Linked DNA regions of Xenopus tropicalis. The protein of the gene in region 2 interacts with the protein of the main gene of each other region in a biochemical or structural test. Links are inferred from orthologs where the notes say so. Each region holds a gene or a part of one and is shown on either strand. Other genes may lie near its edges.

Region 1 (3,661 bases), on a different chromosome or scaffold from region 2:
TTTAATTAATGTTTTATTGATTTTTTAGTAGACTTACGGTATTGAGATCCAAATTACGGAAAGACCCCTTATCCGGAATACCCTTGGTCCCGAGCATTCTGGATAATGGGTCCTATACCTGTACCTTGAAAACAGATGTCTACCACATAACTATTATTTTGTTGCAATTTTCTTTTCATAGAAGCTTTACCTGCAGATGACATGGGGGAAGATCCACTGAGGGGAAGAGAGGCAATGTTTCCCACTGAATCTGCAAACCCACTGAGAAGTTTTAAATATTCCTGAGCTCTGGAAAACTCACTGAAAAACAAATAGTTTATGTTACAAATACGTTACTAAGGAAAAATACAAGATTCCCTCTAAAAATTGCTGGATTGAAAAGATCCTTCAGTTTCCTTTATTTCCCATATGCTACTGAAACCAAACTTATGGTTACTATGCCTAATACCTTCACTTAGTTGTTTTTTTACTGCACTTTGCTATCCCTTAAAAGAGCTTATTTTATTTTTGCCTAAATACCTACCAACTCTCCTCTTCAGGGGGTGCTTTACTGGTTTCTGGTTTCGCCATGGTGTACATTGCTTTTTCCAGCAGAGACTCACAAAAAGCACGATGAATCTGTGTAACTGGATCAGCTGCATTGCAGAATTTAAAGGTGTCAGTCAAAAGTTTCCACTTAAAAGTGCTAGTTACTATAGTCCCAGCAACCCTTTCAAAGAAGTTAAACTACACTTCCCTTTATTTGGATTTATCGATCATTATAATAGATTAACACCCGATTTAACAAAAGTTAACCAACAGAATACATTTGTTATGACAGGAACAGGCAACCTTTTGTTCTACTGATGCTGTAGAATTTTCAGCACTAAACTTAAGCTTAAAGGAGAAGGAAAGGCTAAGTCAATTGGGGGTGCCAAAATGTTAGGCACCCCTAAGTGACTTTAATCGCTTACCTTTTACCCCGGGCTGGTGCCCCCGTTATAAGAAAACCACACCAGCCTGGGGTAGTTGCAGAGAGTATTTCCTCTTCCGTATGTCTTCTGTCTATGGAATCCCTGGGTCATCGCATGCGCAGTAGAGTGAAAAAGCTGACTTTTTTGTTAAAGTTCGGCTTTTTGCTCTACTGCGCATGCGCAAGCGCGCAAAGGAAATTGAGACGCTTGCTGCAGCTACCCCGGGCTGGTGCAGTTCTCTCCTAACAGGGGCACCAGCCCGGGGTAAAAGGTAAGCGATTAAGGTCACTTGGGGGTGCCTAACATTTTGGCACCCCCAAGTGACTTAGCCTTTCCTTCTCCATTAACTGGGATTTGTAAATCTTCCAATATCTGCAGTTGCTTATCACCACAGTAGGATGTGCTATTACAATTAACATATACCAACATTAGAACTATTTCAGTTGACTCCACATGTACTGTATTTCTCAGAAGATATACGCACTCATTAACTGGGCCATAAAGTACCTGGGTTTCTTGTTGAGGTGTAAAGAGAGTCTTTAGTCACACTCTTCAGAGCCCAGTTAGAATTGATGAAAAAGTATTTTCCCAAAGGATGCGCAAGCCATCGCACGGGGTCAGGAAGAGATTCCTCAGAAGAAGCATTTTGGGCACAGCCAAGGAAATATGCCTGTGTGAATTATAAAGGATTAGGTCTGCATATAAATTGATTCTGAAACTACAAAAAGTGCAGAATGGAGTGCAAAATACAGAGGATTTAAGTACCAAAACTTTTGATGAGGTGCTATATTCTCAGTCACAATGTTTCAGAGGGTTAGTACATACATATGGGTATATATAGTTACAGGCCCAAAATAATAAAATAAAAAAGATTTTAGAGCATATAGCTATGCTATCACTAAAGTGGTGTGAAGCAGAACCATTCTGGCTTTAAGCACCATCATTACAGATTTCATCCAGGTTTATATTTACTGTAAATAAAACTTTTTAAACTTACAGTAAGAAAGCGGAATCTACTTGGGAAACTGGTTTTCATTTGAATGGCTGTAGTTAGGTGGATTTCTGCAAGTAAATTTGGAGAGATCTTGTTGCCAGCACATTCGGCCAGGTTTACAGCACAGAGAGCAAGGTTGAGACCTGAACAATTCCAATTAGATGGCAGCTTCCCTGCACAAAAAAACAAAAACTCATTAAGAAGGAATGCAATATGCTTTGTGACAAACTGTGCACTAAATACTACAACTTCTCTGAAGAATTGATCTTGAAAGTGCTGAGAAATTATTTACGAAACTGAATTGCCAAACATGGTGTAATAATTAACAGAAAAACTGTTCATGGATCTAGCACAACCAATAAATAATAAACTGCCTAAAGAAACCTGGATACTGCTACTTTAGTGATACTGCATGCTTTAGAACAGAGGTTCCTAAACTGTGGGTTGGCCCCCTAGGGGGCCTGGACATGTGGCAGTGGAATTAAGGATGAGATTTAGTGAGAATGCCTATTTATATCCTAGACACTGACAGAAGCACAATTTAAAGGTAAACATGTATTTGCTTTTCTAGATATTATTGAGACTATGGCTCAATTTCTCAATTTTTGATTTCTGACGTTTTCCTCTTTTCTGTAACTATGTAAAGCTAAGCAGAAAACAGAAAGCTCTTTCTTTCAACCCTTTAGTGCTCCTAATAATAATAATGATGAATAAAAGATGCATTATTGGAAACACACAGAGCCGTGACAACCTCTCCATTTATGTAAGATCAGCATTGCAACGTTTTACTATATTTTACTATTCTTTTTTTCCAGACTTTTCTGCTATTTGTAGTTTTTACCTGTCAGATGCAATTGGTGCAGTTTATGGTATACTAGGGCAGCATCCCTTGCACTGGTTGTTGCCTCATCCTGAAACTCTGCTTTTTTGCAGTACCCAGGGGAGTGTTTTAGCAGCCAACGGACAAGGCTGATCTTTTGCAGGCTACACCGAATGATGTTCCAAGAAAGGCTGCATGCCAGATCAAACCGTGAGGCAGGTAATGAGCGTCCCAAAACACACAAGCATGTCTGCAGGTTTATTGCTGCGGCACCAAAATCCCCCTGGAAACAATCAAGCAAAGATGGAAATAAATACTGAGACCCATAACAGCTGCATGTGAAATAAATTTGTACATTCTAATAAAATATCATAATGAATGAAAAGGAAAAAAAAAAACTTGTTGTTAGCTGCTCAGTCTTGTTTAGTACAACATTTGGTCTACAGATTTATGGTTCCTGGGTAACCACATTCTTCAGAAAAAGTTATCTTTATATCGGTCTATGTGCATGCCAAGACACACATGTGATTGGTGCAATGCAGCCTCTTGGTAAAGACAAACTGCCTGGCTAAATTTAAACAGGTAACACCATTAAGGAAGCCCAATGTAGTTTAACCAGTAAAGATGATATCTACCTGTGAGGAACTGGAAGTCCCTGTGACCCTTTCCACACTAGCTATACAATATATTTAGTTACTCTGCTTACATAAGAAACAAGTCAAAGTACATTTTAACTAGCAAAATGAATTAATGAAGTTAATCTATGTATATAACTCAGCACTAAAAAGCAATTTTCTTTTAAGACCACTCTGTTCAGTTATCTTTCCTGAGTTATGCGCTTTGAAGGTACTAAGTGATGCAACATTAACTACAAACACATTTAGTTAGCCAAAA
Region 2 (3,661 bases):
ATGTTGAATTTTGTTGGTTTGTATTCTGATTAGTTGCCAAGTTGCAGTAAAGTGCTGGAATGACTTGTTAGGTCAGGGAAATGGCAAAGTGAAACCAGTTCAGCCTATTTGTACCTGCTACAACTAAGGAATCCTGTCACATCATCATAAGTTCTTTTGGGCAGGGCTCTCTTCACCTCTTGTATCGGTTATTGATTGCTTTATATGTTACTCTGTATGTCCCATGTATGAAACCCACTTATTGTACAGCGCTGCGGGATATGGTGCCGCTTTATAAATAAATATTATTAATAATAATCATAGGGATGTATGCCAGGGGCAAAATATAGGTTTTGAAACATCTGATAAGAACATCATGAGAATGTATTAAACAGATTTATGTACAGGCCCTCATTTGTTTAATTACTGCCGCCTCCTATTGGAATTGCCATAACCCTTGTTATCCAGTTGGTGCAGTGGCATCCAAGTAAGGAGTCATCCACAGAGCCCAGTAAAAGTATTATGATCTCACCTGATCATTCACTCTGAGATCTCCATTGCACACATTTGCACTGGCATTTGGCCAGGATATAGTAAATAGGTGTCCCAACTACTGGCAAAGAACCAGTACCAGTAGGATCATAGTCACTATACTAATATGCATGGGGGTAAAAGGTGCCCAGTTTTAGCCATGCAGGGATGCTAATTTGTCTGGCATCCTTTTTAAGATGGTATCAACTACTTTTGGCATTGGATGGGTTCATTGTATTTGAAGTGCCTTTACTAACTACTGGGAAGGCATGGGATGAGTAAAGTCTTGGTTCAGAACATTAAACCCACCCCATGGCACAAAAATGTTATGCTGGATGCTGGATGTTGCTGCAGAACCATCAAGCCAGTTTGCCATCCAATCACATATTCACCTGTACGATTTGGTTAAGAAAAGTACCAGCGTGTCAGGTGGAAATACTCTTGTTCTAAAGGGAAAAACATAAGAAGATATTGACCAATTTGGTGGAAATAGTCCAACTTACTATACCACCAAATTCAAAGTTGGCCAAACACATGAAAGTTCTGCTTTTTTGGTGCTATCACCACACAAGAGGATCTTTGCCTGATTTGGCAACCAAGGTAGTGGAAGAAACCAGGCTGATTTGGCTGGCCGCTGGCCCAATGAATGATGAAGAACAATAGGTCAGAGGGGGAACACATCAACACAAGCTTTTACAATGTGAGTTCATGTATGATATGTGTCATTCATAGCATGGAACATAGCATGTATCCTCTGATTCTTTCCAACCAATGGGAAGTTACTGTTGACCCCTTGCTATTTTTTTTTAGCAAAGGAGTCAATGAGCTTCCCTTCTTTTGGACTTTCTCTGCTGAGCGCCACATATTCTATGCCCAGTTCTATAGCTTTATAGTAACAAGAGCCAGTGAGAGGTAGATTGATGACTATATTTAGCCTGTATGATCTAGTCTTCAGAGGAATTCTTTCAATTGCAAGTACTTGTTCAGTCCTTCCTTGTGAAATATAAATTATGCAAGATATGTTTTTATTTGTACTTCCCCAGTCATTTTATTGGTGTTAATGTTGTCTTTTCCAGCCCACCCCTTGTTGGTGCTACTGGGCCACCCCAGTGTATGACCTTGTACAGGCAGAACACAGTGCCATTTTATTAGTTTGCCCAAGTAGAAATGCTTCTGGTTTTACCTACCTTGTAATCAGCACTTTTATGGCTCCATCTCTCCCTACTATACCTGCTATCCCACAGCCACAGTCCCTTCCCAGAGGCTATTATCCCCCCACTGCTACTATAGGCACCATCTCTCCCTACTATACCTGCTATCCCACAGCCCCAGTCCCTTCCCAGAGGCTATTATCCCCCCCACTGCTATTATAGGCACCATATCTCCCTACTATACCTGCTATCCCACAGCCCCAGTCCCTTCCCAGAGCTATTATCCCCCCACTGCTACTATAGGCACCATCTCTCCCTACTATACCTGCTATCCCACAGCCCCAGTCCCTTCCCAGAGGTTATTATCCCCCCACTGCTACTATAGGCACCAACTCTCCCTACTATACCTGCTATCCCACAGCCCCAGTCCCTTCCCAGAGCTATTATCCCACTGCTACTATAGGCACCATCTCTCCCTACTATACCTGCTATCCCACAGCCCCAGTCCCTTCCCAGAGGTTATTATCCCCCCACTGCTACTATAGGCACCAACTCTCCCTACTATACCTGCTATCCCACAGCCCCAGTCCCTTCCCAAAAGCTATTATCCCCCCCACTGCTACTATAGGCACCATCTCTCCCTACTATACCTGCTATGCCACAGTCCCTTCCCAGAGGCTATTATCCCCCCACTGCTACTATAGGCACCATCTCTCCCTACTATACCTGCTATCCCACAGCCACAGTCCCTTCCTAGAGGCTATTATCCCCCACTGCTACCATAGGCACCATCTGTCCCTACTATACCTGCTATCCCACAGCCCCAGTCCCTTCCCAGAGGCTATTATCCCCCCCACTGCTACTATAGGCACCATCTCTCCCTACTATACCTGCTATCCCACAACCACAGTCCCTTCCCAGAGGCTATTATCCCCCCACAGCTACTATAAGCACCATCTCTCCCTACTATACCTGCTATCCCACAGCCCCAGTCCCTTCCCAGAGGCTATTATCCCCCCCACTGCTACTATAGGCACCATCTCTCCCTACTATACCTGCTATCCCACAGTCACAGTCTCTTCCCAGGGGCTATTATCCCCCCACTGCTACTATAGACACCATCTCTCCCTACTATACCTGCTATCCCACAGCCGCAGTCCCTTCCCAGAGGCTATTATCCCCCCCACCGCTACTATTCTCTACTATTCTCTTCTTGTGTATTTAATATTAGTTGGACATTTTTTGCACATACTAATACTCTTTATAATCCCTTCCTTCCAACAGATACATCCCCCTCAGATGTGACAAGTCTTAATGCCACGAATAGTATCGGTGTTAACTCTCTGTGTGCCATTTGTGGTGACAGAGCGACTGGCAAACACTATGGGGCTTCCAGCTGCGATGGCTGTAAGGGTTTCTTCAGGAGGAGTGTTAGGAAAAACCATATGTACTCATGCAGGTGAGACAGAATTCAACTTCTGATGCCCTAAGTTATATAGATTTTATAAGTGCATAAACATCACCTGACTGACAATATACTATTATTGGTTTATTTGCTATCTATCTCTAAAGGGAAAGGATGGGGGTGATCCAGAGCTTTTATATTTTCCCCCCTCCCATAATTGCTCAAAAACCCCACAAACTAAAAGTGAAGTGATCGGCCTCTTGATCCAGGAGACATTTTACAAGAAACTTTATCACTACAGAGATTAGATGATTTATTTCTCACTTCAGATACTGAGTACACACACCCCGGCTGGGACTAGATAACCACAAGATGAATGTGCCACTTAGTAAATAAGTGTGGGGGGGAACTGATTGTATATTTTCTGATGCTTACAAATTATCCTGAAAACAAATGCCCAGTTACTGCCTTAGTATAGGTCAATTGGACTGGTTTACAAACTTGGGTATCTGGTCAAAAATCGTTCAGTTGAAGTTTGCCACAGAATCAGCTTTGAAAGGAACAGTAACACAAAAAATGGAATTACAATGTACTG

The links.
Region 1: the proteins of hnf4a (region 2) and srebf2 form a complex in vitro, tested with the Homo sapiens proteins (2 studies listed by BioGRID and IntAct). The link is inferred for Xenopus tropicalis from reciprocal best matches to the Homo sapiens genes HNF4A and SREBF2.

What each region holds. Positions count from the first base shown.
Region 1 is NC_030680.2:120,149,668-120,153,328, reverse strand, and holds part of srebf2 (sterol regulatory element-binding protein 2), read right to left. Parts: intron 3,051-3,661; coding exon 2,789-3,050; intron 2,121-2,788; coding exon 1,951-2,120; intron 1,624-1,950; coding exon 1,461-1,623; intron 636-1,460; coding exon 524-635; intron 301-523; coding exon 191-300; intron 1-190.
Region 2 is NC_030686.2:38,457,672-38,461,332, reverse strand, and holds part of hnf4a (hepatocyte nuclear factor 4-alpha), read left to right. Parts: intron 1-2,945; coding exon 2,946-3,120; intron 3,121-3,661. UniProt on the Homo sapiens protein: Transcriptional regulator which controls the expression of hepatic genes during the transition of endodermal cells to hepatic progenitor cells, facilitating the recruitment of RNA pol II to the promoters of target genes. Activates the transcription of CYP2C38.